Struthio camelus: one gene and its partners. The protein of the gene in region 1 purifies or fractionates together with the protein of each later gene. This does not show direct contact. Links are inferred from orthologs where the notes say so. Each region holds a gene or a part of one and is shown on either strand. Other genes may lie near its edges.

Evidence for each region.
Region 2: the proteins of VAPA (region 1) and RAB3GAP2 purify together in Homo sapiens (affinity purification with mass spectrometry; 3 studies listed by BioGRID and IntAct, with this or other methods). This does not show direct contact. The link is inferred for Struthio camelus from reciprocal best matches to the Homo sapiens genes VAPA and RAB3GAP2.
Region 3: the proteins of VAPA (region 1) and ACBD5 purify together in Homo sapiens (co-immunoprecipitation; 4 studies listed by BioGRID and IntAct, counting the BioPlex papers as one, with this or other methods). This does not show direct contact. The link is inferred for Struthio camelus from reciprocal best matches to the Homo sapiens genes VAPA and ACBD5.
Region 4: the proteins of VAPA (region 1) and MIGA2 purify together in Homo sapiens (co-immunoprecipitation; 3 studies listed by BioGRID and IntAct, counting the BioPlex papers as one, with this or other methods). This does not show direct contact. The link is inferred for Struthio camelus from reciprocal best matches to the Homo sapiens genes VAPA and MIGA2.

The regions. Positions count from the first base shown.
Region 1 is NC_090943.1:116,078,914-116,086,656, reverse strand, and holds the start of VAPA (vesicle-associated membrane protein-associated protein A), read left to right. Parts: upstream 1-4,732; 5' UTR 4,733-5,032; coding exon 5,033-5,108; intron 5,109-7,743. UniProt on the Homo sapiens protein: Endoplasmic reticulum (ER)-anchored protein that mediates the formation of contact sites between the ER and endosomes via interaction with FFAT motif-containing proteins such as STARD3 or WDR44.
Region 2 is NC_090944.1:117,734,704-117,741,626, forward strand, and holds the start of RAB3GAP2 (rab3 GTPase-activating protein non-catalytic subunit), read right to left. Parts: upstream 3,017-6,923; 5' UTR 2,904-3,016; coding exon 2,795-2,903; intron 1-2,794. UniProt on the Homo sapiens protein: Regulatory subunit of the Rab3 GTPase-activating (Rab3GAP) complex composed of RAB3GAP1 and RAB3GAP2, which has GTPase-activating protein (GAP) activity towards various Rab3 subfamily members (RAB3A, RAB3B, RAB3C and RAB3D), RAB5A and RAB43, and guanine nucleotide exchange factor (GEF) activity towards RAB18.
Region 3 is NC_090943.1:19,239,555-19,247,315, forward strand, and holds the start of ACBD5 (acyl-CoA-binding domain-containing protein 5), read right to left. Parts: upstream 3,018-7,761; 5' UTR 2,972-3,017; intron 2,786-2,971; exon of another isoform or gene 2,715-2,785; intron 2,626-2,714; exon of another isoform or gene 2,521-2,625; 5' UTR 2,466-2,520; coding exon 2,390-2,465; intron 1,258-2,389; coding exon 1,137-1,257; intron 1-1,136. UniProt on the Homo sapiens protein: Acyl-CoA binding protein which acts as the peroxisome receptor for pexophagy but is dispensable for aggrephagy and nonselective autophagy. Binds medium- and long-chain acyl-CoA esters.
Region 4 is NC_090961.1:7,075,189-7,083,143, reverse strand, and holds the start of MIGA2 (mitoguardin 2), read left to right. Parts: upstream 1-4,939; 5' UTR 4,940-5,053; intron 5,054-6,490; exon of another isoform or gene 6,491-6,595; intron 6,596-7,344; 5' UTR 7,345-7,491; coding exon 7,492-7,587; intron 7,588-7,955. Other genes in the region: SH3GLB2 (endophilin-B2), read right to left, coding at 4,348-4,410. UniProt on the Homo sapiens protein: Regulator of mitochondrial fusion: acts by forming homo- and heterodimers at the mitochondrial outer membrane and facilitating the formation of PLD6/MitoPLD dimers. May act by regulating phospholipid metabolism via PLD6/MitoPLD.

The DNA of each region.
Region 1 (7,743 bases):
CTATCAGACAGTCCTAGTGACATCCCAGCACACAACCATTTATCAGTTGATGCAGCTTCAAAGATTATGGGGCCCTTGAGCTTGAGTTTATGCTCAGATGCAAATTACTTTCTGAAGTGTTTTGCATCAATTGCTTTGCCCAGATTTGGACGAAAATGGCACAAAGAATTATCAACATTTTCTATCTCCTAAATTCAAACTGACAAGGAAGGGCCTAACTATATAAGTGGTAGTTGAATGCTCTGAAGCCTGACGCTGCTGCCATCATCGATAATGATAACTACGTACAAAAAGGGTCTTAATCTCACCCTTACAAAAAAGAAGAAAGACCAAAAATGTTTGTGGTCAAATCATAGCTTTCTGCTGCTGCAGAGGAAAAGTAAAAGATCTTCCAGTGACTAACCTCACTATTGAAAGGCTCATATCATTCTTGTGTGCACTCTAGCAGATGGAAGCATACTTATATTTGACTTAACAATGTATTCCACCAAGTACAGGAAAATAACATAAAACCAACACATTACACATTCCATGTTCTGTATATTCAGTTGTCTCATTACATCCCTCATGAATGTATGAGAATTGTAAGAATCAATTGCCGAAAATGGTGTTCAAAAATCTGTTCCCTTAACAACACTGTCATTTTTCATTTGCCTTACACTGATGTGTCCTTGAATGTCTAATGGCTTTTAGCCCATTTTCAGTTGGCTGAGGAATCAGTCAATTCTTTAAATGCTAAGGTACCACCAATGGCCTCGAGCATTTTTGTCTTCAGCAAGAAAAGAAGCAAGTCCAAAATATGAAGTGTACAAAAATTTTACACTACAGCTATTTATCAGGATGCTATTATGTTTTGTGTTACTGATTGTTTCCCAGGATTAGTTTTTCTCTGCTTGCCTATTCAAAGTACATTGTATGTTTTTATCATAAGGTCACTAAGTAGAGAAATACCCTGTAGTTGAACAAACTTGAAGATATCCAACTAAGACCTACTCCTCTGGTCTGTGCTAACATTTGAATAACGCTATAAATCTATAATAGTGTGGACTTTGGTTTTACCTTTGATTTACAATATAACAAGTGGGCCTAAATTTATATTTGGAATTCATTAGCAGCCAAGTAAATTATGACTACATCATGCTTAATCTCTGCGTATGCTAAGAATAGTTTTGTATTTCAAAAGATAAATTGCAGCACCAAGAGGCAAGTTATTTCCTTAAAGGGAAATTAAAATGTTCTTTTACCTGTATACCTTTGCTGACTTATTTACTGACTTAGCAATGGAGCATGCATATGATACTTCAGTGAGCGAGATCTAGAATTTTCCCATTAATATGACAAACTGATATAGCACTTAGTTGCTTTTTCTGGCAATCTTAATAACAGCAAGAAATTGCCAAGAGGGTCACGATAGTCTTTCATTGAAAGACATTTTCAAGTTCAGAATTGGTAGGACTGAATAAACCACCTGAATAATAAACAGTGCAAAACAGTATTATGAGACTGAATAAACACTGATACTTCTCAGGTATAGAGAGAACTCATTTAATATTTAACAGCAAACGGTTTTGAAAAATGTCCAGCCATCTCCAAACTGAGATATTATAACAGTGGTACCAAACTCACCGTGTGAAAAACATTAAGATCTACAAACACACAGGACAAATGTTAACCTGAGATTAAGCAAATGTTAGTCTTCTGCCAGCAATGAATACACTAAGGATACTTCTGGGATGACATAATGATCTCACTCAAATCAGTGAGAGGTTTTCCACTGACTACAATAGAGCCAAGATTTCATTCCTCAACTTTGCTATGATGTGTTTAAAAAAATGAATCATATGTTGGAGAAGGCTGCCAGGTATTGCTAATCAACAACATAGGTTTTGTTTAATATAAAAAATGACTTCAGTTTGGGTGAAATAGCAGTACTGTGTAAAGCATGAGATCAGAAATTATATTAAATGCAACAAAATACATTAATGCATTACTAAGGTTGTACATGTTTGAACAACAACAAACACTACATTAAAAATACATGTTCAGGAATAATTGCCATTAACCCATTCACTCAGTGTTTATGTACTAACTTTGCCTTTACTGTGAGACTACATGAGCAGAACCCTACAAACATCAAGGCATACAGGCAAGCATTGATACAGGCTGCCCAAGAAAGCTGTGAAATCTCTGTCCTTGGAGGCTTTCATACCTAACAGGACGAAGCCTTGAGCAACATGGCTTGAACTCAGTTTTGACCGCCCCTGCTTCGAGCAGAGCGTTGGGCTAGAGCCCTCCTGAGGCCTCTTCCAACCTGACTGGTTCTGTGATGCTCCCTCTGCTAGCAAAAACGTGCTTTGGGCCCAGGCTTGAAGTCCATTCAGTTCCTCTTAACGTGCTGCTGAAGAATTAACCCAGTCCTCCTCCAACCTGCACACACCCACTGATGTCACGTGTCATAATCTAACATGCAACCATGTATATCATCAATGCGTTTGCACTGAAAAACATGCATGAGAAAACCTGTCAGACATGCTGTCATGTTAAGGAAAGATCTTAACTCCTGTTTCTCCTCAGATTTTCCTATATCAGAGTTGTATAAAAGAATTAGAAAACACAGGTATTTCTCTCTTCTGAAACTAGATTGAAGGAGCTACTTTTGAATTTGTGATCTCTACCATTATTTTTCACCCTGTTAAAAGGAGAAAGGATAGAACCTTTCGTAGCGTTTAGTATTTTAGAGCAGTTCTCCACGTCTTGATTCTTTGAAAGCCAAGACCCAAAAATTCTTTTGGTATGGAGAAACTCGGCTTGGGTTAAGTTCACTTATCACTTCTGAGAGGCATACATTGTGGCTTAATCTTTGGTGGATTCCTGAATAGAAAAGAACAGAAGGTGGAGGCAATAGAGTAACTGTCCTGGTTAACAACAGAAGAACAAATATAGTAGGACAGAAAAAAATGTATCTGTCTTTCACTTTATCTTCCAGATCCCAAGGGCAAGAATGCATAAACAGAGCGGAACATGGTAATGCTAACAAAGCCCAGCATCAGACAATAACTTTAAATATGTTGTACTGTAAATAAAGACACTATTTAAGAACTTATTTTATGGGCATCATAAAGTAAGTGTGTAGCAGGAAAACTACAGCCAAAATAGTTACAGGCCTTTAGCAACATTTTCAGGTACGTACCACAAAACTCCACCTATTAAAGCCAATTGCAATTAGGTAAAAATAGGCTGAGATACTGTTCTACAGTGTTTCTCAACATATTTCTTCTTCAGTCAGTGACAATATTAAAACTCACATTAGTGTGGTAGAATGTCTCAAACCTTAGGACCAAGAAGGACCGGTGCCAGAAATACTGCCCTTGGGACAGTTACTCAGACTGTTGAGGCTGAGGCAGGAGAACTGCTGGACCTGGTGGCTTGAAAGGGATGGCATGGACAAAGGTGCTGAAGAGCTGATAGAAGGAGACACAACAGTGGGAGACTAGGAGCAGAGGCAGACAGCTGAAACGGAGCGTGAAAGCTCTGCCCAAGCCAAGGCAGAGCCTGGACCTAACTTACGCCGAGGGCCTCCCCCCGCCGAATGGCCTCAAAACCCTTCCTTGTGGTTGTGGCTGAGGGAGGCGTATTCAGCGAGGAAATGAAGCGAGCCTCAACTCTTAACCATGGTGAGTTCGTGCTGAAGGCCATTTAAGTGATTTTTTCAGTGTATTTATCAGCAGGACATATTTTTCAAATAGGTTATTCTCCTCCTGTACATGTTCCTAGTATACTTTCACCAGATTGCAAGAGTCAAGAACTGCTTTCATGCCGGTCAACAGTGACCCTTAAAGCAGATGCTGGTTCTTGGTGGAAATCAGGAGTTAGCTAACATTTCGAGCCACACCTCTGGAAACTCCTTCCCTGCTGCTCCTCCACCGCCTACCTTAAAGCCAGGTGGAAGATGCCCTTTCCCCCCCCTCCTCTCTCTGATCTTGCATGCTGCTGCCCTGCTTATAACCTGGCTTGGGCCTTTCACCCCGGCGCGCCTCGGAGCGAGGATCGTTGTGCCCTGGGACGTCGCTGCGGGCTGCCCTTGCGCAGGCTGAAGCCCGTCCGCGCAGGCAGCCCTCCCCGCGGCGGACGGAAAGGCCGCGTCTCTGCCCCCAGCATGGCGGCGGGCCCCTGCCTCAGCCCCAACGGCCGCGCGGCACGGAGAGGCTCCTCACCTCCCCCCGCCCGCCCCCGCTGCCAGCCCCACCGGCCGGCGGCCACCCGGGGCGGGGAGAGCGCAAGGACCACAACTCCCAGCACGCAACGCTTCCGCCCGGCCGCCGCGCTGCATGCCGGGAGCCGTAGTCCCTCCAGCCGAGTTTTAAGCCGCCCAAAGCGTCGAGCCAGGAGCGCGGCCCAGTATCTTTCCCGCGCATGCGCATTGCTCCCGCCTCGTCCTCCCGAAGGAGGAGGGGGCCGTTGCTCCTTTCCGTTCCCCCTACCCCCCACCCCCGCCGCTCGCGCGCCCCCTGCAGCTCTAGCGCAGGGGCAGTTGGGAGGGGCGGGGCCGGGAGGGGGCACCGCGGCGCGTGATTCGCCGAGCGGCGGCATCTCGCTGGGTCTAGCTGTCAACTGGCGGCGGGGGGGGGGGGGGAAGTGAGGCGTGCGCATGCGCGCAAGGGGCCCGCCGCCGCCTCCGCCGCGCCGCCGCCCTCGTGCCTGCGGAGAGGCTGGCGTTGCCGGCCGTGCGCGCGCGCGTCGCCGGGCTGTTGAGGCAGTGCGAGCGGGGAGGCGGCGCGGAGGAGCCGGGAGCGGGTGTGGGGCAGCAGCGCGCGGAGGGGGCGCGACGCGACGCGACGCGACGCGGCACGGCGGCCGCCCCTCGGCCCGCGACCCGGCACCAGCGCGGAGCCGCCGTCCGCCTGCCCGCTGCGAGGGAGCGGCGCCACCGCCGCCGCCCGGCCTCCCCGCCTCCCACTCCCGCTCCTCCTCCTCCCTCCCTCCCTCCCTCCCCCCCCCCCCACTCCTCCTCCCGCGGTAGCGAGTGAGCGAGATGGCGGCCGCCGGGGCTCTGGCTAAACACGAGCAGATCCTGGTGCTCGATCCGCCCACCGACCTCAAATTCAAAGGTGAGGGGGAACCGGGCTGGGCAGGCCGGCCGGCCGGCAGGGCGGGGGGGAGCGGCGCTGCGGCGGCCGGACGGCCGGGCTGCGCCTCGGCGCTGGGCCGCTTCGAGGCATCTGAGCTCGGCTGGGGCGGCGGGGCCGGGGCGCCGCCTGCCCGGGGCCGCCGTGAGGGTGGAGGGGGCGCCGCCGAGCCGGTGAACGGGCTTCGCCGCCGCCATCTTGGGATCCGGCGGGGACTCGAGCGTGTCCTCGGCCCCGGCAGCGCCGCGGCCCGGCCCCCGCCGGACACGGCGCCCGCTGCTCGGCCGCCCGCTTCCCGCGGGCGGGGGTGGGGGCTGCGTCGGGGCCGCGGAGGCTGCCTTCTTCCCCGCCCCAGCACGGTGCCGCCTTCCTGTCCCCGCTTGTGCCCCAGACGCGGGCACCGGCCCTGCCGTGTCACGGCTCCGCTGGGGAGGCGGGCGGAGCCGCGCCACGGCCCGGCCCGGCCCGGCCCTTTAGCGACGGGGCCGGCTGCGGCCGGGGAGGGGCTGGGGTCCGGCCTCCTCCCTGGCAAGGGGGAATCGCGCTCCTGTCACTTCTGCGGCCGCAGGGGTCTGAGTGGTTGCGGATCCTTTCCCGAGCCGCTCCGTAAGGTCTCCCTCTATCTGTAGCAGGTAGGGGAGACCCAGGAGCGGGTGCCTTGCCGTGGTGCGAGCGAGCGGCGAGGGGAGCCGAGGAGGAGGACTCGGTTACCTTCGCATCTGGCCTTTTCCCTCTCCCGCGCTCTGGCCCACGGTGTGGGCACGCCTCTTGAGTCTAGCTGTTAACCGGTGCTGATATCTGTGGTGTTATTTTGCACCATCACTCATCGGATGTGTGAGCAGGTCACCCGCGCCCTCTCCCTGAGGGAATCTGACCCACTGGCTTGGCGAATGACACCCTCTTCCTCTGTCCCCCCCGCCCCCGTTTTCCCCTGGGTGTCATGTTTCAGGCAGGTTGTCAGTTAATACTTGGACTTATGTAAAAAGGCAGTTCGCTCCTTGGGAATGAGAGAAAGGAACGTGTGCATTTCAGAAGTTTCTGTATTTCAGGTATTTCATGCCAACCACATGACTATGAGTGGCATGAGATGCATCTGTCGGAATAGGCTCCAGTCAGTGCTTTAGCATTTGGGTTTTTTTCCCTCCTAATAAATCACAAATTAGATGATTGTGAAAAGATAAGCTCTTTCCAAAGCTAAGAGGGATACTTGATAAGTAGGGGTCTAAAAAAGCATGGTATAATAAACAGTTTTCAGTATTCAGTGAATTTCTTTTTAGTACCCATGATGAGTATTGAGAAAAATCTCCATGAACTTTTCAGTTTCAAAATATAAGTTTAAATAACATTGATCATGTTAAAAAAAATTAATGTTGCTGATTTTAAGTTTTGTAAGCAGCGTCAGCATATGCACTTGTCTAATCCTGTAAATTTTTCTATTTTCAGTAAGCTCATTTTTATATTGTCTTAGGGGGATAAAGCAGACTTTATGATGTTGTAAATTTTTTTTTTAATGGCCGAGTAGAGCAAATAAATATTTGTTTTACAGTGAAACATTGTATTCCCCCCAAAATACCTTTGATTGGCCTGGCTTTCATAAATAAAGCTTAAGTCTGGTTTATCATAGAGATTTATAACAAATTGTAATTGTTTTATTGATCCATCAGATCAATTAACCCAAAATCTGTTGGATCCCACATCTTCCTATTTTGACAGTTTCAGTTTTTAAATTGCACATTCACAGAGCCAAAACCATAGTGGAAACTTAGTTTTTTCACTTGTATTTTGTGTTATTAAAATGCTACCATGTTTGCCTGCACTTGAAATTTCAAGACACTGTGCTCTTCTTGTCAGAGTAAGTTGGAGGAAAATTTATGTATATTAAAAAAAAAAAAAAAGTTGCCATGTCTAATTTGCAGCTTGCAAACACTTCCAGCTTGAAGAAACTCTGTAAGTTGTATTTGTGTGATACAAACAAACTGTGGATATAAGGAATACCAAATAAATATTAGATTAGAAGGTCTGTGTGAAGCGACTGCCAATCAGTAGTCTTTATTGGGGTGTGTGTTTACGGTATGAAATAGGTAATCTTTAGGCATGAACTTTGGTTTTGGGCTAATGCATGTATGACGAAAACTTGTGTAGAGCAGACTAAGGAAAAACAAAACCTGAAGCATAATGAGACTGTAGTATTTCAATACACTGTAGGAAAAGCAGCACATCAAATGCTCTCTCAGTAAATATTTTCTAACTGCTTATTTTTCTGAGCTGTTTAAAAAAGTTTATGTACCACAAACAATAATTCAGTTCTAAAGTATTGCATTAAATAGTATAGTAGTGGCAGAAGGAAATTCTGAGAATTGTCTTTTAAAAACCAGATTGGTTAGTAAGAGAGAGTAGGCCTCAGAATAAGTGTAATTATGTGTAGAAAATCATGCGCCTTTGTTTAAAAAAAAAAAAAAAAGTATTTTTTTTTTCAGTGTAGCTGATTGTTCAAGGTTCTTTTTATTGCAACAATTGTCCATGGCTGTTACTGACCTGATAGTGATGATGCGTGTGTAACAGATCAGATTTAAGTCTAAACCTCTGAATAGAACAACATAGTTTTGTTGATTTTCTT
Region 2 (6,923 bases), on another chromosome or scaffold:
TTTTTTTTTTTAACAAAAAGAGTAGGTTCATTACAATTTTGGTGTTTATTAAGCTATATTTATTCACATATAAGCAATTATGTAAGTACAGTATAGAAGCTGTATGTGATTGCAAGTGAGCTATTTTCCGTTAAACATATAAGCAAACTCCTCTCTACTTTTTCCCTTAAAGAGTAAAAATGTAGATAAAAGTCCAAGTTTTCCAATGTAAAATTTTATTAAAATATCATTTTAAAACAATACATTCTGCCAAGGGAGCAGTTTTTATAAAGCTTTCTGATAGGAAACAATTATTTAGATGTTGTTAGTTTAAAAATCTTTGCCTTTGCTCTGGTTATATCAACATGCATTTTTTTTTTTTATTGCTTGGGACAATGTTTTGTTTTCTTTTCCTGGTGCACAACATTAGAGGCAGAGGATTCTTTTGTGTTCTCAAACTTCCCGTTACTCTTTATTTCCAGCAAAGAGTTCTTTCACGTGAACAATGTAAGAGCCAAAGTATACAATTATCACTAAAGACAAAACAAAGCAATTTTTAGACTGCTATGCAAGAAGTCAGATGCTTACTAATAAGAAAAGTGAAGAGGATAATATGTAGATGAAAAGAATAAAGGAAGAAAGAATGAAAAACTTAATGAACCAGAGCAGCAACTCCTGACACGCATCATCAGCTAGCAGCTTTTCATACTCTCATTTACATCAAGAGAAAGCAGATCCTCTAAGATTTAGATCATTCCTTGTGTTTTCCTAAATTGAATCAGCTTGGAGTTCAAGACCAAAAGGCAAGCAACGGCTGCAGTATCTATACCAGCTCAGTTTAACGTAATGATGTTCCAAACAACCCTGCAGCTTAACTATTCAGTTCGTTAGGCAGCAAAGTAGCAGCAACGCAGACTTGGCGAAACAAGCGTGACAGGAAAAGGATTTAACGTCCCATGCAGTCAAATTCTTTTTTTCCCCCCCTAACTAAAAGATACTGTTGCAACTTGTGAAGGTATCTTAAGATAAGAGATAAGTTTTGGAAGTGTTTCTCCCTGTCAAAGATGAATGCACTAGCAATTTCTTCTTCAACATCAGTAGTTTATATTCTTATATAAAAGTCGCTTTGGGAACTCTTTTTCACTCACATTTATGCTTATTTATCCTGAACCAAGAAAATACCTGCAGTATCAACAAAACACACACATGCAGTATCAATAAATTACAACATATAAATCTGAAAGATTTGAAAATACCCAAATGAGCAGTGTTTTGAAAAATACTTGATTCCAACACTGGTCTGCCTCAATGACTGAATGAGTAAATATAAAACTACTCCAGAACACAGCCAACTCATTAAAATTGAAGAACAGCACATTTTAGAACATTCTTTGCTCCTCTCGTTTTTGGAAGTCTTCCAAAACTTTAAAAGTTTTCTCTCTTTACAGCTGCCATTTGATAGATCTACTTTGACAGAAGAAAAGTATTCAGCAGAAGTTACTTAACACAGACTATTCTCATGTACACTGCCAAATGAGAGAGAAATATTTTAATTTCTTCCGCACATATTTTTGGAAAACAAATGTGGGTTACCATCTTTCACCTTTATCTTCAATGTTCAACAAACACTAACAATTTCTAAAATGGTTCCAAAACCTCTCCTTTAGATTTAGACGATACCAAGAGTGCACGCATTTTTCAGAGCATTACAGGAGTAAAACAACATGTACCAAAGTAGCACATAACTGTTTTCTAGCAAAAGTTTTGGATAATCTAAGGTATGACAATGAAATCTGACTGTATAAACTTCTTCTGAAGTTACTTTCTTCCAAGTGCATTTCAACAACAAAGTAAATCGATTTCAACCTTGAACACAAGAAGAAAACAACAATAAAACACGTTATAGTAATATTCATGCAAAACTTTTACTGGTAAAGTTAACTAGCAGAACATAAAGTGTATTTTTACATCACCTTCACAACCGTTGCACCATTTCCCCCTCTTTCCTATCCACCCTTTAAGTAAGCCTCTCTGCTTTCTCTCACAGCACTGTTAATACTTGACAGGTCTTTATAAGCACCTCCACGGGCCTCTACCAAACTCTTTATTTACCACACAGTTGCCAAAAAAAAAAAAAAAGAACAAACAAAAAAAGCAAATATTGGCCTATACAGTTAATTTCACATTGCACGAACAAGAGGCAGGGCAGTGACTCATTGCCCTGCAGCGTCCGGCCTGTGTATGGATCTGCCTGTCCTTCTCTTCTGTCCAGAAGACAGCCTCTGCTCCAGACAGCTCAGCTTCCTGCTCAGAAACCTGCTCCTCAACTTCAGACTGCAGTTCTCATGAGGCGAATTTACTTTTCAGGCCCCCGAACTAAACGTTCACCTTACTCGCAGTGCCTTTTACACCGTCAGACAAGCCTACGCGGGCAACACTTGTTGACTGTGACAGGAGCCCCTCAGAGAAACTGCAGCCCTTTAAGGAGCAAAACTGCAGAACTTGCGGCACACAGGCTCCGCGCCGGCAAAGACCTTCCCCCGCGGCCTGCAGGACGACGGCCCGCACCTGAGGGCAGGCGTCCACCAGAAGCTCCCTGGGAGCAGGGAGAACCGCTGCGCTACCGCTCGGCCCTGGCGCCAGGCGCCCGTCACCGCCGCAGCACGGCAACGCCGCTCGGCCGCCCGCGGCCGCCTCCCCTCCCCTCCCGCGCCGCCCCGGGACGCGCCGGGGGCCGCCTCGCCCCCGCCGCCCTCCCGCACGGCCCGGCGGGCCGGGCCGACACCAGCTGCCCCTCAGCCCGGCGCGGACTCACCGCTCTCCCGGCCGGCCGCGGCGCTGCCCTGGCGGCGGTGCGGGCACAGGAAGTCGCGAGCCGCCTCCAGGTCCTGGAAGTGGCCGAAGGGGACGAGGGTGCACGACATGGTGCTGGTGGTCGTGGCGGTGGTCGCAGCGCAGCCGAAGCCGCAGCCGCCGCCCCCTTCCCGGCGCCGGCCGCCCAACCCGGAAACGGTCGCCGACTTCCCGGCCGCCCGACGGCCTCTGCAGGGCGCATGCGCGGGCGGACAGGGGCCGGTGGGGGCGGTGGAGGGCACGTGACCCCGGCAGCCGTTGGCGGCGGCGGGGGGGCCGTTGGTGGGGTGGGAGGGTGTGGGCCCGGCGGGGCCGCTCCGCTCCGGTCCTTGCCGCCCGGAGGAGCGAAGGCTTCTCGGCGGGGTCGGCTGGCGGAGGTGAGCGGTGTGCGGGCAGCGGCAGTGACTGGGATGCGAGGGATGCGCCGATCCCCGGGGCCGCGGCCTGACCTGCAGGGAAGCAGAGGCGGCGGTCGCGAGGAAGGTGCGGCGACATGCTGCAACGGTTTCATCGTCCGCAGCTGATGGTGAAGAACCCAGAAAGGCAGCAAATGCTGCGGCGGATTGGGACCGCACGCCTTCAGTGGGTAGCGAGAGGCAGGGTTGCTTTCTACTCTTAATTATTTTTGCAAGCAGGTATTTCTTGTGTTTAACGTGAACGTACCGTGTTGACAGCTGACCCCTCCAGGGTTAAGGCGGAGAGAAGCGTGTGCGAGCAAAATTCGGGGGGGTGATTTCTGAGCTCCACAGACATTGCCCCGTTAGCAGCCCTGTAAGTTATTTGCTAATAAATCTTACTTTACAGGGCTTTAACTGTATGGAAAATCCTGTTGCTTCTTGTCCCACAAACGTCTTTTATTTGTTATTGTCGATAACAACGTTTGTGCTTTTTTAGTAGTGAAAAGCAGAAATGACTGAGCAAATAGTCCAAATAAACCATTCTTAAAGTATAGAAAGTTTGGGCTTTGATACACTTCTTCGGGGTGACCTTTATCTCCAAAGACTTTCTGAGACTGAACACGTTTGCTAGAAGTTTCGTTCTAAACTGCAATTGCTTCTGACTTACCTGAAGGCACAGAGCGTAGCAGGCTGTAGCCTCTAGAAAAGCTCTATCCACTTTCCAAAGAAATTGGCTTCAACTGGAAACTTGTTTACCATTTTCAGCTGTATATTATTTTGCTACAGTAATCAGGATCCAATAGCAGTCATGCCCTTAACAACAGCATGGACATTTGTTTTTGTATTTTAAAGCTGTGGCCCCAGGCAATACACAGGTTGTCTTTGAATTTAAGCAGATGAATAATGCTGTGCCTATTTAATACAAGGTTATTGCATCCTGTTTTTTTTTTTTTTTTTCCTGAACAGGGATGACATGCTGTGTACCAATGGGAAGGAAGTTCTTGGAAAATAAGGTCGCTCTGTGGGAAAAGTTGAAAGCACTGGTATGGAGGAGTGGCTAATGATTTTCAAAAAGAAACACTAATTAGGCATGTAAAGCCTGCGGAAAAAACATTTAATGACAACTTATATGTGGAACATGTGCAAAGTCTCTAGTAATGTCAAGTGAATAAATAAAGAGCACACAAGAAATTAAATTAACAAGCTGGTTCATCATTGTTTGGTGATGCTTTTATCACATTATGAAAATTTTCTTCTTTAGAGACTCTTAATGAACATTGCAAGAGACTGTAATATCCCTGTCAGATGTGTTGTACACAGAGAAGTCAAGTTAAAAAAGTGACAAGATACTAATTAATGAATAAAATAAGGCAATGAATGATTCAGTAAATGAATTAACAAATATTTAAAACCAGAGTTAAGCCCTGATGAACTAACCTGAATACCTTGTCTACTGAATTACTGTTTTTTGTTACTTTTATTTTTGAAGTATTGAGGTTTGTAAGATCATCTGGAGCTTTTTTCATCACTGAATATTTGTGATTGATGCTGTCCTGTCCAACTCATAACTTTAGCATTTCTTGACTTTTGTCTACTGATGTGGTCTTAATAGAGGGCCAAAGCATATTCCTAGACACAATTACCTGTAGAGGATAGTGAAAACCCCCAAAGTTTTCTTCCTGCAGTTTCCTCTGGATTCTGTGGAAGGCAGTCTTGAGCCAGAAAGATGATCCGATTTCAGACTGCCACACTCACTCCCCTTGTTTCCGTGCCACGGGGCTCTCACACAGGATATTGGTGCTCCCCTCCCAACACTCCAAAACATTCAGTGAGCCAAACTCAGTAATTTCAGCTGCTGCTATCACCCAAGCCAGCAGTATAAAGATACTTTTTTTGCAGTTGCTTGTGGCTACTTTCATACAGAATAACATTTTCCTAAGTTATGCTTAGTGATAATTGTGTTTCTCACAGCGCCGTTCTTCCACCCATAGAAAATACGCTCTTGCATTATAACATACAAGTTACGTACATTTACTTGTCAATACAAGTTAATACAAGAAAAGAAGTAAAATGGCATTTATTGTTTAAATGTTAAAAGCCTCAACAATATTTTCTCATGATAAAACCATGTTAGGTGCGCTGTCGGGCATTTGTTGGGCAGTAGATTTATATTTCAAATTAAATTTTAATTTCTCCTTTTTCCTTCAATTTTTATTGAAATGATCTTCCATTGTATCTCCTTTTTTATCATTCGTCTTTTGCTTGCACATCTTTTTGGCATGTGAATATGTTATTAACTTGATAAGTGATTTGGCAGGAGAAGATTCCAACTGCATTTCATAAGCTGAGCAGTGTTGGGCACTGGTGATCTAAACATCCACTGCATGTACAGCTTTCCTTTAGCTTTGGATGTGCATGGACAGTGTGTGCAAAATAATGTGTGTCTGCCTCCCCATGAGATAGCCTTTGATAATAGCAGTGTTTTCACATGTAATTGTACTAGCAAAGCCTGGGCCAAAGTAGCTTGTAGCTGCTATCCCTGACTGATGAGATTTGACCTTTCTGCGATCCTGCTAAATCTTATTCAAACAAAGTATGTCACTATAGAAAATTATGTTTGTTGAATCTTGATTCAGTTCCATTGTAACAAAGAGGACATCTCATAATTTGAAGTTAGGTCTCGTCTGTTTAGGGGCTCTACTCAAAGCCACTTGAGGGTCTCTTACTTTTGATTCGGTTCTGGCTTTAGCCCCAGCATTCATGGCAAGCTTTTCTTCAACAAGTTTTACAGATTAACGATAAGCCTCCTTTTGTCTTGGTGGAGAACAGCAAACTCAACTTCCGGCTTGTGATAGGCACGCTTTTTGATTGATTTTTAAAATTTTGTCTTGCATCCGACTTCCGGGATATTTCTAGTCTTGCTTGTGTTTAATCACTGTTTTGTCACTGTTTGGATTATCAAAGACATTATGGGAGGAACGTGTACAGTTTGTAGCATACAGAAATTTCTATTTCAGAATATTCAAAATCATGAAACCTACAGCCTTGTGCAGTGCTACTTCTGTCTTGCTCCATTTTGGTGTAAAAACACTAAGAAATTCTGTAGTTCGTCCATCTACCAGCAGAGGTGGAGATCCTGTTGTCCATCTCACTGCAACATCTTGTACTTGTGCATCTATATCTACTGTGATTAACAGCCCTTCAAATGGCCTCTTCATATTCATGTATTTGTTTTTCTTCTGTTAGAAGATACGTTGCACTACGTATGTTTTTACCTCACTGAGCATGTTTGTGACAGTACAGGAGATTGCCCTTTGTCAGATTCATTGCTCCCCTTCCCTTTTTCTCTAGTAGCATTCAAAAGTGGTATCAGTGTGCACATGCTGCACATACTGAGTCTATGGTATTTTTTGTTCCCTCAAGATTTTGGTGCAGATCAGTGCCTAGCTCTTCTCAAGGCATATAAATTGCTTATCCTCCAAACGCATTCCGAAGGATGTCCGCTAGCATCTTTGCGTTGCCACTTATTCCACAGAGGTAAGCCTTGCTGAAATATAGTTACCTTATGTGTAAACGGTTACGTTTCTGCCTAGTGGAAAAGGGAATCTCTGTCAGAATGGATGTCTATGCAGTTTATCCCCATCTCAGGTCTGTAGGTGAGGAAGGAAGGAATAAGGGATATCCCTTTTCTCC
Region 3 (7,761 bases), about 97 Mb from region 1:
TTTTTTTAAAAAAGATCCCCTGTTGAAGAAAAAGCAGGTCCAAATACTTCAGCTGACACTTACAAATAGTTGTCAACGTTTTAAAACAGGTTACAAGAAAGATGTCTTGTCCTTTGCAGAGTTCAGCACTTGCTGAAAGATGAGTCAGTCTAAGAGGCACAATAGTCAGGTCACCCCCAATTATGACAGTAACTACCGATGGCCTCTCCCTCTGCAATTCTGAAAGGCTGAAGTTACAATCAAATCTATTAATATCACAGAAGGAATCTGTTGGAACACGGGCCTGAACAAAACACTTTACTCAGTCTTGCACTTGATTTGTCACTGTCCTTTCCTCTTGCCAGACCATTTGTCCCACTTAAAGCAAAACCTCAAGGCTGGTGGCCCACATTTCAGCTACAAGCAACCAGGTAATTGGAAGCTTACAGCCACAGTCCCCTGCAAACATGCTCCCTTCTCCCCCAGTTTGAGAAATCAAAAGAGTCTGAAGACTTATTTCACAGATCCCAAAAAGACTGACCACATGGACAGCAACAATACTTGCTCTTTACAACAAAGCATAACTACAGAAAAGTTAACAAACAAAACATTGATATGGCTTTTCAAATAGCTCTTAGCAATTAGTTTTCCCCACACGAGCAAGATAGTGACCATGTGAAGTTCTGCCATTAAGCAGACAAATCAGAAAGATACATAAACCAGACCTCTGCCTGAAAGGTTGAAAGCCATTAATACAACTTCAGCAAGCACCCATTTTCTTGGGGGTCACATCATACTCGAAAACCAGAGGAGAGAGAGTTCTAGACAGACACTCATCCACGTCATACATTTTGCAGATCACCTATACCTTTGCTTCTACAATGCGGGATAAACAGCGTAGAAGTAACATGCTGTGTTTACCCAAGAAGAACCTGCCCCCTGCAGAACATAAGGGAATGCTTTCACCTACAACTCTGAGAAGTCAGAGGTTATCCGAGCTAGAGAGTTGGAACACAGGAAAGAAAACAAATTTGAGGCTTGCCTCAAAGGACTAGAATATTCTTATTTTAGGAAAATAAACTCACTAAATCCTTTCTCCAAGTGGACTCTGAATGTCTCCACTCAAAGCATAAAAAGGAAAACATGAAATAAATTACCATTTATATCTACCAATCGGATCCCAAAATCCAGGTCTTGGAATGTTACAGGGTCCTTGGGTTGCTTGCTTATAAAAACTATAGAACTTCAGCATCATTTCATTCGTTGGCTGGAATGAACCTAGAGAAAACATTTTAAAACATAACTTAATTGGCATCAAGAATATTAACTAGTATTTTACAAGCTTAGAATTTCTGTGAGAAAATAGCCTGCAGTTCTTTATGGCCTGATTCTCAGCAATACAATTTAAGTCAATGGAGAATGTCTTCATCCACCTCAAATCTAAGGTAAACATTCTCAGTAGGTCTGAAATAGCAAGTTTCAGACCAAGTGTAAGGGACTACAGACTTAATTTTTTCTAACTGGAGAGACTAAAATTAGAAGTAGACTAATAAGTAACAAGCAAGCCTCCTTTCACTCAGTTAAAGGGACAAATTCAGCTCTCTGTAAACAGTATGTCACAAGTCATCCTACTGTTACAAAGGGTAACCTGCTGCAAGACTCTGTAATTAAAAAAAAAAAAGCCAAAGAAGAGCCAAAATACCCAGCAACCTTCTCTGTTGTTTTTGTTTACTTTGGGTATTTGACAGTACTTTCAATAACTGTTTCACTTTCTCCTGTTCTTGTTCTCTCTTCTTCCTTTGTGGAAGAAACACACACAGACACAAGAAACATAAATGCAAAATTGGAACAACTGGCAGAGAAGAGAATTCAGATCCAGCCCATTAAAGGAAATATTTTCAAGTTCGATTCTAGTCATTTAAAGAAGTTCATAGCAATTTTTAAATTAGCACCACAGAAAGAAGTTTCTTATATCAGAAATAAAATGATGTAATAAGTGACCTGTTTATTACTCTTATCAAAAAGACACACCCTGATTTTTCATTTTACCCTTTTAACTCTTCCAAGGGAAGAAACGCATCGACATAAGAGCTCTGAAGCCATCAGACCAACCCTGCGACCTGTGCAGGCCCTTCTCCCGCTTTCACAGCCGGGAGCCGCAGGCCGAGAAGGAGCCGACCCTCTCCTCCCGAGACCTGCCGCAGCAGCTTCTCCGGCGGGCCTCGCACCGGCGCCTCGCCGGGGCTGCGCTCAGGGCCAGGCCTGCAGCCCACCCGCGGCCGCGCCCTGCCCCCGGCCGCCCCGGGCAAGCAGGGTGGCGCGGCCTCGCCTCCGCCGCCGGGCCCTGCCGCCTCGCAGGCGAGGCCCGAGCCGATGCCGATAACCCACACCCCCCCCTCCCTGCACTCACCGTTTTTGGGCAGGCTCTGGATCACCTTCACGGCCGCCTCGAACCTGGTGGCGTGCACCGAGCCCGTCTCCGCCATGTCCCCGGCCGCCGCCTCCTCCTCAGCCGCCGAGCTGCTTCCCTCGCCGCGGCGCCTGCAGCCACCGCACGGGAGAGGGCAGGCAGGGGCCGGGCCGGGCCGGGCCGTGCGCCGCCGCCCCGCGTCCCCTCAGCGGCGAGCCCGGCCCCCCGCGCTCCGCCCCGCTCCCCCCTCGCGCCCCTGCCAGCCCCAGCGGCCCCCCAGCAGGGCTCAGCCCGCCCGCCCGGCTCCTCGCCCTGCACAGCCCACCAGCAGGACTCAACCTGCCCCGGCCTCAGCCGCCCATGTTATGTCTCCCCACAGCCGCTCCCTTCCCCTCCCCCCCCCCGCCCCGCGGCCGCCCGGGGCACGCTGGGAAATGTAGTCCGCCCGCTGGGCCGGGCCGGGCCGGGCCTGGCCCCGCGGCGCCTCGGTCGCCCGGCGCGGCGTTGCTCCGCGGCCCAGAGTGGCGGCACGTTTCCTCCTGCCGCTGGAAATAAAAAGCGAGTGTGCGCGTAAAAAAGCACCTGCTTGTCCTCAGCCCCTCGGAGCTGCCGGCGGGCGCGGCCGCGAAGGGCAGGGCTACGCCGGGGCGGCGGGCCGGGCCGGGCCCCGCGGGCAGGCCGCGGCCGAGGCGGAGCCTGCGGAGCTGCCCGGAGCGATGGCGGCGGGGGGCCCGGGTCCCGGGGCCCGGCCGGCGGGGAGCCGCCGAGGTGCAGCTGGGCCGGCGAAACAGTTTCTCGCCTTTATTTTTGTATTGACTCTTCTTCAGCTTCTTTCTTTTTCTTTGCTCTTTCTCCTCTTCCCTACTTGTGTAATGACATATATCAATCATATAAGTGTTTCAAAACGTGCTGTGTTCTGCCCATTTTGTGGACTTTGGCCAGTCCCTCGGTTGCCTTTTGAGAGACAGCCCGCTGCCCTGGCAGTCGGCCTTGCTGCTCTCGCTCCTTCTCTCAGCTGTTCTCTTGCAGACTTTACACAGTAAACACCACTGTAGCCACATATTTTTGTAATAGCTTTAATGAGTTATATTTGTGCTAATATTTTAAGGATTTGTAAAATACAGGGACAGGTTTTTAGCAGCTTAGAACCCTGAGAGTAACTATTGCCGTAATATTTGGAGATGGGGGTGAATACAACCAGCTAGCTCAGGAGCTAAATTGATGAATGCCCTTATTCAAAAGTGCTGCACATCCAGCACTCTAGGAGTAATCAGACAAAAGTGTGCTAAACGAGCTACTTTTGTGACAAGTGGAATAATTTACCCAGTGAGCAATAGGATGAATTAATAGGCCCTTTGAACAGAACTCAGTACAAAATCTTGGCATTCAGATAGGTTTATTTATCTGGTACACAATATATATTTTAAATTCCTCTTAAGGCAGTTGTGTGATCACAGTATATGCCCTCTGGTGGGAAAGAAAAGCTCCACAGAGAGGGAATTAAAGCAGATCAGCCCATGCTCTGCTGAGCTAGTATATTCCACAAGGTCAGCGGCCAGCTGGCCAGAGGAGAGCTTTGCTGGAGAGAGGCTTACGCTTCCAGAGGTATTCAAACAGGATTCTCCACAGTGGGCAAATGATGCACTCGTGTATGAACGTCACTGTTCCACTTGCGTGAATGTTACAGATAGATTTCTCTGAATTTTTCATTTTGAGTGCTATATTTTTAAACCTCTAGTGAGCTTTATACTAAGATCTTTCCTCTTTTTTTATCCACAAAGCTAGGAATGACAGAAGCTCAGATCAAAGGGAACTGTTTGTGATAAGTGGGTCTCTGTATAAATATGAATTCTTTGAGCATACAGGGAGTTAATTGCAAAAGAAAGAAAAATGAAGGGCCTGTTGTGAGGCCAGCTGATGTGCAAATTCTATTTACCTGAGAGAATCTGTGATGTCATTTGCCTTCTAATTGATTTAAGCAAAATGCTATCTGCATTTTTTATAATGAATGTTCCCAGGCTTTCAGTGGAAATAAGCTTTAAAAGAGATGCAAATGGCAACTTCTTTAATGGCTGTGTGCAACAACATAGGCTGCCATCTTTGCACTGAAGATATGTGAGAGAGTGAGATTTGCAAATCTAGAATGAGACACTTAAAGTAACCCAAAATAATCAGTATCATCATGCCCTGAGACAAGGCTGAAATAGTAAATGAGAGGCAAATATGAGCACTGATGAGCCTGTGAGAACAAATCATAAGTGACTAGTTAGTTAAATGCTCATATATAATACTAATTAGCATTGCTGTTAGCTTTCTCTGTGTATACATATTGCATACCATGAGCCAGCAGTGTGCCCCTGTGGTCAAGAAGGACGGTGGTATCCTGGGGTACGTTAAGCAGAGCGTTGCCAGCAGGTCGAGCGAGGTGATCCTCCCCCTCTACTCAGCCCTGGCTGAAGCCTTCCCTGATCTGAAGGAAGCTGAGGATCTAGACTCCCTTCTTTAAGGAACGAAATTACGGGATGTTTCTCTGTTGTCCACTGGGTACCTGTTGGGAATGACCACCTGGTTAGAAAATCTTAACGATAATCCATGTGCTGAATTGGGCTGGGTTTCTATTACTCTGCAAGAGCAGCCTCCAAAGCAGTTCAAGCAGCAAATGGGACCAGCTCTTACTCTTTTTTTGGATCCAGTATATGTGAAGCTATATCTTTGGAACTGTACCGGAAAGACTGACTGATGTCCAGTATGTGAGATGGCAGAGAGAAGGGGGGACCATGGTACTCTGCTACCAGCATGGTTTGGTGGTGAGCACGAATGAGGACCAAGAAGCAAACCTTCTCCATGATGTGTGAAACTTGGCCTGTCCGAGCGCTTTGCTCTCTACTCACCTTCTCTTCAGCTGGCATTTCACAGACTGCTTGTGGAGAGCCTGTGAACTGAATTCCTGACAACGTTCTGAGGCACATAAAAATTTGGACGGAAGTCAGCTGTCATAGTGCCTGAAGGTAGACAAAAAAGGCAGTGTCACAGTTTGACGGGCCTGAGCCACTGGTGCTGTGGTACACGCCTAAAGGGCAGATGCACCAACTGAAAGGCATATGAATAGGGACACCAAAGTGAACAGGCAACCGCAACCTAAGCAGATTTGGGGTGGCAGTATGGGCGTTTGCGCGGTGATGAATGGATTTACAAACGCTACTGTTAAAATTGACAATAACGTTTAATCAAATAGCAATCGCAATAACAGATATAACCCGTGAACAGTGTAACGATTGTATGTATATATACACCAATATTTACAAGGAATGGAAAAGATGGATCATATGTATGTACACACAGTAGTAAATGTGGAAATGAATAGAAACACGAAACATATATATACAGAAATAAAAGGAAAGATGCCCAAAGGGCTGCACTGGGCGGACATGCCTCTCCCCAGCATCGCTACTGTGAATTCAGTTGGCCACACCTGGCCGGCATGCCAGACCCCAGTATGGAGACCATAAGTAAGAGCTGGCCACACCCCAAAGGTGTGCCAGACCCCGTGCAGAGACCGCAGCTGGTGGAATTAGGCCACACGTGATGGTCCACCTTTTTCCCTATTCTAGGATTTTATGGTCTTACGGACGGCCGTCCCCTTGCGTGGTGACTCCCGGTCCAGCATCCCGAACGCGGGGTGGGGCAAGAGCGCATGCACTGCTCGAGGTCCTCTTCCTTCTGCCAGCCCACGGCTTCTCGGCGAGACCTTGCACAAGGCCACTCGGCTTCTTCGAGCCCTGATAAGGGCTGCCAAGCTTCCTTTGGCGCGGGGAGTGATTTCAGCTCCGATGTCCTCTTCTTTCTTCCCTCCTCCACCGTCACACACACGCGTCGCCATCGGCACCACGCGCACACTACCAGCGGTAGTTCTTTTATAGATAGCCGGAGAGTGGCCATAGGCACACTTTACGATGATGTAGCCTATGCCGACTGTTTATTTCTTGATCCTTCATTTGCACCTACTGGCATGCAGACAAAATTGAAGACTTAAGGTGTCAGGTCTTTGGCAGCAGTCTAATACCACGTGCTCTTGTTCGGGCAATCAGTGTAAAGCTGTTACGCCCGGGGTCGGGGGGAGGACAGCCTGACTGACAGGCAGCACTTGCTAGAATGTTCTAGGGGCCACTGGGCTTCACCATGACAGGTAGACAAGCGTGATCCTGACTGTAACCTTAGACTTGTCCTTCACAAACAGGTTAGGCGTGGTTATAAGGCCCCATGGAGTTATGGCACAGGATAGTCTGTCAAATCTGATGTGTTGAGCTACCTTAAAAGCCTCATTTTCTGCAGTCTGTAAGGTGCCGCTGTCCCTGCATGCTCTTCTCATTTGCATCCAAAATCTGACCTAGTTCTGTAGCAGTTGCTTCCAGTGCCAAGCTACACCCCAGTCCAGCTTGAAGAGCACATTCATTTCGCTTGAGAAACAAAGGAGTCAGTTAAAAAGCAGAAACTGGAACCAATTACACCTATTGCTCCCTCAAGAGTCTGAATCGTAGCAGTGTATTTTACAGAAATATGTAAAAATGGTTCTTAAGAAAGTAGACCATAGTCTTATACATATTATGAGCAAGTTCTGTAAGCTACCAGATGCAAGAGCATGTAATTTTAGCAAAACTTACTTTTTGAAGTGTGTAATCCAGCAGGCACGGGGAATGAATTATTTAAAATCTAATAGTCATGATTTTGAAGAACTAAATTAGCATTACAACTTCTAAGTCATATCTACATGCTGATGAAGAATGGAAAGATGTGGCTTATGAAGGATAGAGCTTTTCATAAGGAGTAGTTTTCTACATTGTTCACAGCAGAAAGGCTAATGTATCCGTTCATATTTACTTACAGGATTTTTTTTAAATAAAATGATGAGGGATGTTTATGTCAGAATCAACAGCTCTGGCGAAAGAGAACTATTTGCCTCTCATGAATATGGCAAAGACAGCAGTTAAAGCTTGTCCACCTATGTAGGCCAATCCCTATTCTTCAGGAAAAGCCCTTTGGGTGAGAGACTCGTTTGGAACAAGCAAGAACGCCTTTTGGGTTGGAAGTTTTCCTGTGAGGTTCAGATACAACCCTTAATAGCTTGACTGGAGAAAATGATCATTTCACAATTGGGGATTAAGTAATGGAATTATTTTAAACCATTATTAACTGTGGCTGCTTTGCCTAAGGATTAGGCTCCATGTTAAGGGTTAAAGTTAGTATATCCAAATTCACCTCTCTTTCGAGCTGTTCAATTCAGGTATCTCAGATCTCTCAACAATCACTATTGTGAGCTCCGTTTTTGTTTCCCTTCACCTCCCCCCTCCTCAAATATTTCCAAAAAGAGGATC
Region 4 (7,955 bases), on another chromosome or scaffold:
GGAAGCATCCCTGCAGCTGGCCCAGCTGAGCACTAGTCCTGTTCTTGTGCAAGGAAGCCAAAGAGGTGATTAATAATGCAGGGCGGCCTTTTGTTGAGTGCCACACTCACTCTCCAGGAAGAGAGCTGTGCTGCATTCCAGGGCATCAATAATTCAGCCAAAGGTTGGGTTTCCTCTGGGAGGCTTGGCTGGCCAGCAGGAACACTAGATGCATTATCAGGGCCTGTGTGGACAAGCAGGATGACAGATCAGGAGAGCAATACTTGGAACAGGCAAGGATTGCAAAAGCAAGACTATGCTGGACTGCAGTTAGGGCAGGGGTCCCAGCTTGGGAGAAACTTCCTCTTTCCCCACAAGAGTTGGAGGAGAGACTACTGGGATGTCAGGGAGGGTGGGCAAGTGGGGCTGAGCTGGATGGGCCCCTCTGCTCTACAGCTAAAATATCAAAGAGGCTGTGCCTGCAGCCCTAATTACTTTGGCCATCAAGACTAGACTTTAAAAATAGCGCATACATCGCTTTGTTGAAAGCATTAGCACCTTTCTCCCTTTAAAGAGGGGGGAAATATAAGTCAGTGGAAGCACTGATATTTTGTTAGCACTACATCTGTTTTGAACAATGCAGCAGAAGTTAGACTTGTATCTCTTACAGGTCTGTGCAATTTTTCCATAGATCTCCCCTCCAGCAGGCCCACTCCTGTACGCTGTGAGCTCTAACAGGGTGGCTACAGCCCCCTTGCAGAGGATGTGTTCAGGCCCTTGTACCACTTTCAAGGTTCCCAGCTTTTCCAGTTGGATGTTCCTTGTTAGACATTGTTACAGGGAAATTGTGTTCCACCTTAAATCACAAGGATCAAACCAGGGTCAGGAGTCTTGAATCGGGACTTCTCTTGCACCTGCCAGTAGATTTTCTGAAGCCTAGAAACAGCTTCATAACACCCAGGTTACTGTAACATTTGCTCTTTTGGTGGTCAGAGGCATGAAAGAACCAAATTCAGACAAGTCTATGTCCTTTCCCTTGTACAGGGTCCCATTAGAAGAGAAGCTATAGCTACTCAGTCAGCATCTAAAAAACTACCACCTGAATCAACTGCTTTGGACCAGATACAGAGCATGCTTCAAGCATTTGGTCACCTGGAGTCAGAAAAGCTAGGATGTGAGCCAAGAGAAACTGTGTTAGAGGACAGAAGGAAGCCATTAACAGGACAGCTTTACTAACTCAGGAGCAAGGCATGTAGGAGAGGAAAAATAACCATCCTATGCTCATACGTAACCACAAATGTGTTCTGACCTGCACCTCTTGCCTTCAACCCCCTTTTCTTCAGTCACATCCTGTTCTCTGATTTTGCATTTTAAAGTGCCCAGTAGCCAAGCAATTAACCCCAGTAAGCTCATGTTAGCAGAGCTGAAAAGTCTATTTTATCACTCGAGTTCAGGAAGATGGGGGAGCCTGTCTTTTCTCAGGAGCTGCAAGATAGTAATTACATTAGCAGTGGGATAAGCACTCAAAAGCCATACTCATGCTTGGGCAATTTCACCCAGAGTCAGCTTCTATCAGGACTGATAGGAGACAGGCACCTACAATTATTTCCAGACATCCCTGAGAAACCCTGTCTAGAGCAGAGACTTCCAGTGTGCTACCTTTGCAGCAACAGTTGCCAGTCCTGGAGGCAGGTTGGAGCTCTTAGTATCGCTCCCTCTGCTGAGGTTTGGGGATCAGCCCCACTTACAGATCACTGAAAGGTCCAGCTGTGCAGGCAGGAAGGCCTTAGTTTTACTCAAGGAAAACAACGAGAGTGATCTATTTGAAGTTTGTCTGCAGGTGCCAGAGCAGGAGCTGTTAGGGGCCAAGCGCTGCATCCCCTCTGAGGAGGTAACTGGAAGTGACTGTTTGGTGGTGTGTGTCAGTAAGGCATACCTTTAAGTGGGATGCCAAGTCCTACAACAGCCCTTTATCCCTGCAGCTGCCCAAGGCAGAGCTGACTGCGTCTTCTTGCTCTATTCCATCCCCAAAACTTGTATCATCTGCTTTGCTAAAGGAGAACAGAGATGCCATGGGGTCCACAGACACTGCCATGTCAGTGAACCAATACACAATCTTAGGAAGATAGCTGGCACTTACACAGTTTTGGGGAGATATTGCACAGCTTTTGTCATGGCCACCTCTGCTCATGCTGGAGATGGGTATGGGCTTGTCCACTGGAGAGCACAGATCCTCCAAACTGCTGGCTTCTCCTCAGTTAGCAGAACTCCTAACTAGCACCCGAGCTGAGAAAAGCCACGTAAAGAAAGCAGTGGTGTTTTTTGCCACTAGCCAGCCAGGTCAAGCCTAGGCCAACATTTTTCCTGCTCATCAGCCAGTCTCTGGGAAGCTACCCCAAAGACAGTGTGCCAAACCAGTTCTGCCTCCTTTTACCCCCCACCTTTGCAGGCTGGGTGATGCCACAGCACTTCTTCCAGTACAAGTTAAGCTCTTGTGTGTTGGCCAGACATCTCAGCCAGACAGTAACAGCTAATGCTGTCTGAGTAGCACAGCACATTAAGGCCGGTCCATTTATCTCCCAGTCACTGCAGTTCCAGTAAAGCATCACTTTGTTAAATGCCTGGAGGAGAAGGAAGCATCCCCAGTGCTCTAGAAAACTGAGCTTATTCTAGCCAGGTCTTATTCCTCTCCTGAAAGATCTGCTGTGCTAAGAAGGCTACTACAAACCTAATCCTTATTGCCAATAGCAGACCTCAACTGTCATTTGCTTCTTGGGGTGGACAGAGCAATGCTCAACTATGCCAGTAGCAGAGCTCTGTGGGGAGAGCCCAAATGCGACTATTTTCCCCAGCAACAGCATTTCAAGAGGTGGTTCTCAGCATCAGTGATCCATATTCTCCCAGTCTGCCCTGCTTATGCAAACACTAGCACACACACTCCAAAAGTACCTGTGCCACTTTGTTTCAAGTAATTACTACTGTAATTAATCATGTGGATATTCATATGCAGGATGATATGGAGTAGGTGTAGCAGGCAGGAGCCACTATTTATAAATGCCTCCCTGCTCTAGAATTGCTGTGTGCAGACACTGTTCCCATGCCTGTCTCCTTCCTACGCCTTGTAGAAGTCTCTGATAAATGGTTGTTAGCTTCAATAGGCCTTCTAAACATACAATTTCTTTACAGCTTTTCTCCTTTCTTTTGTTATCAAGGTCATTTGCATGAGAACAGCATCTTTAAGCTCTCCATCTGCTCCATGTTTTGCACCTGTAGTTAATATTTCTCTTTCCATAACATATGACTCATTGGCACAATAACAGGAGGTGATATCTGTTTACAGGAGACCAGTTTCCAAAAGAGCCTGAATTACTCCATTGCACAGAAGGCTTGGAACAAGCTAGCACTGTTCTGGTTGTTTTTAATCAGCCCCCACATAATAGGGGGAATAAGAAGCCCAGCCCCAGAGTCACCAGCTGACTTTCAGTTCTCAGGCAAGATCCCAACAAACTCCAGCTTAGCCTCCTCCCTTGCCTTCTTCTGCCCATCCAAGAACAGCTATTCCAGTTATTATGCCCAAAGAGTGGACACACTCAGCAGCCACATCTCACTGCTTGCAGCACACTTAACTCTTTGTGGGTAGTCAAGTTTCTTCAGCCTACAGCTTCAAGGGGGTCCTTGCATCCCCAGCAAGCTCCTGGTATTAAGTCCTGGTGCCAGTTTAGTCCAAGCAGACCCTACCAGCTCAGTCTCAGGAGCCCTTTCCCACCATTGTAACAGCACTGCATTCTGCCAAGTCCTGTGAGCTGCTGCCACCCGACCTCGAGGTCGGAGCACAGGCCATCTGCAAGCCCATCTCTGCTGCAAACATTTACCTCACCGAAGGGAACAGCTCCCCAGTGGGCCTGGCCTTTGGCATAGACACAATTAACACAACAGTCACCTGCAAGATAAGCTTTTGCAAATAACCACCATTAGACAGTTATCACCACACTTCCCCTTTCTACACCCTTCCAAAAAACGTATTTATTAGAAGCCTCTCTGAGGCCTCTCTTACTCCGTTCGGCTTCACGATGCCCTGGACCCCCTCCTCATCAAGGAGGCAGCAACACCGTCCAGTTGTGCTCTTGCTCGGCGCTACCCCGCCCCGCTCGAAGCCGACAGCGCCCGGAGGTGCCTGCTCCTGCCCGCGCCTCGCTCGGCGGCTGGGGGGCCGCAGGCGGAGCCAGCCCGGGGAACGGCTCCGGCCCGGCGGGAGGCGGCTGCCGCGGGGCCCGGCCTCCCCTCAGGCCGGGGCCCGTTGCCATGGCGACGCGACACGGCCCAGCTCGGCCGGGCCGCCCCCCTCGTCTCAGGGGCGGCCCCGCTCACCTGCACCGCCCGCGAGAAGAAGACGCCGGCGTCCGACGCCAACTTCTTCACGTTGAAGTCCATGATGGGCGCCCCGAGCCGCCCCTGCCGTGCCGCGCCCCCGCTGTCGCCGCGGCCGCCGCGCAGCCCGCCCTTTATAGCGCCGATCGATGCCCTCCTCGCGCCGCGCCGCTGCCTCTTAAAAGGGTCTCGGCGCCCTCCCCCACCCCACGTCGCCGCCAGCTGTCTTGCAACGCTGTCCCAGCTATGAGGAAGGCCTGGCGGGAGGCAGCAGGCTGGGATCCGCGCTCGCGGGGCAGTTGGTGAGCGCCTCAGGCGGTGGGCCCGCCCGCGGCTGGCATGGCCCCTTTAAGCAGAGCCCGTCGCCTCGAGCGCAGCTGTCAAGTGCCATCGAATGGGCGCTCGCACCGCCCCCTCTCCCCCCCGCCCCGCGGCCGCTCGGCGCTCTCTGCTCAACCGCACCCGCCGCCGCAGCCCCCGGCCCGGCCGGGCGAAGCCACCCGATTGGTCCTCGGGGAGGCAGCTCGCCGCGCGGATTGGCTCGGAGCGCTGGCGGGAGGCGGCCCCGCCCCGCCGCGGCAGGCCCCGCCCCCCGGCGAGGGTAGGCTGCGGCGCGGGGGAAGGAGACGCTGCCCTTCCGCGGCCATGGCGCGCGGCGGGGGGAGAGGGCGCCTCGCGGTGCGCCGCGCGCCCCCCCCCCGTCACGGTGAGTGGTGCCGCCCGCGCTCGCGGGGGCCGGGCCGGGCGGGCCGCACCATCGCGGTGGGGGAGGGGGACTCTCTCGGGGGCGCAGGAGGCGTGGGAGGTGCGGGAGGTGCCCCGGGGTGCGGGGAGTGCGAGAGGCCCGGTGATCTTTGGCTCCGGGCAACACGGGGAATGCCCCAGGGGTGGGGAGTCGGGGGTCCCCCCCGGGTGCAAGGGGTGCGGGGGATACCCGAGGGGAGCAAGGAGCCCGGAGACCTGCATGGGTGCACGGGGTGCGGGGGATACCCGAGTGGTGCAAGGAGCCCGGGGACCTGCATGGGTGCATGGGGTGCGGGGGATACCTGAGGGGTGCAAGGAGCTTGGGGACCTGCATGGGTGCACGGGGTGCGGGGGATACCTGAGGGGTGCAAGGAGCTTGGGGACCTGCATGGGTGCAACGGGTGCGGGGGATACCTGAGGGGTGCAAGGAGCCCGGAGACCTGCATGGGTGCATGGGGTGCGGGGGATACCCGAGTGGTGCAAGGAGCCCGGGGACCTGCATGGGTGCACGGGGTGCGGGGGATACCCGAGTGGTGCAAGGAGCTTGGGGACCTGCATGGGTGCACGGGGTGCGGGGGATACCTGAGGGGTGCAAGGAGCTTGGGGACCTGCATGGGTGCACGGGGTGCGGGGGATACCTGAGGGGTGCAAGGAGCTTGGGGACCTGCATGGGTGCACGGGGTGCAGGGGATACCTGAGGGGTGCAAGGAGCCCGGAGACCTGCATGGGTGCATGGGGTGCGGGGGATACCCGAGTGGTGCAAGGAGCCCGGGGACCTGCATGGGTGCAACGGGTGCGGGGGATACCCGAGTGGTGCAAGGAGCTTGGGGACCTGCATGGGTGCACGGGGTGCGGGGGATACCTGAGGGGTGCAAGGAGCTTGGGGACCTGCATGGGTGCACGGGGTGCAGGGGATACCTGAGGGGTGCAAGGAGCTTGTGGACCGTCCAGGCGCAGCAGCTCCGGAGGCTGCCCAGGGGCGCATGGTGCAGGCGGTACAGGGATGCCCAGGGGTGCAGAGGGCCCGGGGAGCCCCTCGGGTGCACGGGTACCAGGAGCTTGGGGAGCCCTGGTTGCAGGAGCCAGGCGTGCTGCAATGCTTGTGGGCCATGCCTGGCCAGGGGCAGCGGGAGCACCGCTCGGGTGTTCACTCCTCCGCAGCCTGGCGTGCGGGCATTGCCTTGCCCTGAGCGCCCCAGCGGGGCCAGGGCTCGGGCGAGATGCCCGGGGACAGCGCAATGTCCCTGGTACTGTGCACGCCCCCCATCAGCCAGACACGGGCTGGATCCTGAACCCAGGATTTCTTGCCCCTCGCTGCTCTCTTCTGTGCTCTGGCCAAAACGTTGCGTTTAACCTTGCACTGAGAGCCCGTCACGTGAGTCTGCTCCCTGCAGGCTCCAGCCACCTTGAGAGGCGTTTGCAAATGTGGCTCCCGGATGGGGTCATGCCCTCCCCGGGGCTCGTGAGACCTTGGGTCTGAGGGCGCTGCGAGCGCTACGGTCAGGTAGGAGCAGGTAGTTATCACGCAGCTTTAAAACACGGGATGGGTTTAGCTCGTCGGTGTGGGAAGACACGAGAGCCCGGCCCGGCCGGACTGCAAGCCGCACACGGGAGGTGCAGCGTCGCCGGGCTGCGGTGGACTTGGCTCGCCGGAAAGAGCCAGCGGAGCCAAAGCGTTTCTAACTTTGTTGCAGTTAAAAGACACCCCCAGGTTTCATCACGTTCTTTCCTAGCTCTGTCCTTGACGTGAAGCACGCCTGTCCTCCCCGGCTCCCCGCGCGGCCAGCAAAGCGCCGCTTAAACCTCAGCTGCTTTGAAACCCCTGGGCAAACGCTCTTTTCTCGGTGGCTTTTGAGCAGATCTTTGATGCGGTCGCAAAACTGAGGGGGAGCGGAGTTTTGCTAATTAAAGTGAACACAGGGTTTTTTGGACGAAGGAGTTTTTTACAGGGGGGGCTGCAAACAAAATCCCTGCAACTGCGTGCAGCCGCTTTTGGCGCGCGTGGAAATGTCTGGTGTAGTCGCAGCTATCCAGTTCGAGGATGCTTGGTCTCCTGCTGTAGAGTAGTTTGGGCATCTGCCCCCACGGTTAGTAGGAGAAGCAGAAACTGCTGCTGTCTGGGAGAAAACGCTTTAGCTCTCCTGTTTGGCCCTAGCTGCGGTGCTGCGCTGAGCCTGGTCGGCGTTCAGGAGTGCCGCGCAGAGACGTGAGCGCGCGTTCCCTTCACTCGCCTGTTTTTCCCTCTTCGTGCAGGAAGAGGATTGCTGGCTGAAGACTGACCCCAGGACGCCGAGTCAGAGGTCGAGGGCAAGCTGGGTTTCCTTGTGAGCAGCCAACGCAGCGTCTGCAAGCGCTCTTCCCCGTGGGGGCTCCTGGAGGTGCCGAGGTGCTCGTTCAGACATGGCATTTCGAAGGACAGAGGGGATGTCCATCATCCAGGCCTTGGCGATGACCGTAGCGGAGATCCCCGTGTTTGTTTACACGACGTTTGGGCAGGTACAAGAAGCAGAAAAAGCTTTTCTGACCGGTTCCTTGGATTTTCTCTTTGGGGGTTGCCTGCAGAGAAAGAAGAGCCTGCGTTAGTTGAGAGGGAAGGAGGAACAGCAGGGTGATGCTAGCAGAATTTGGCAATTTTCACGCATCTCATCCAGGGAGAACTCTTGGGTTCAACCTTTCTTGTCTGCAAAGGCACTAAAACAAGATTTTAGTTTTAAAGATGACTAATGTATTCCCCACTTGTAATAATGCAACACTTGGAGCAGTAAAGCTCAGCTGTGTACTGGGGTTTCAGAGCTGCATCTGGATAACTTGGATCTCACGTGTTATGGGCTGCATGCAAACTTTTCAGGGTGTTTTGGTGATGC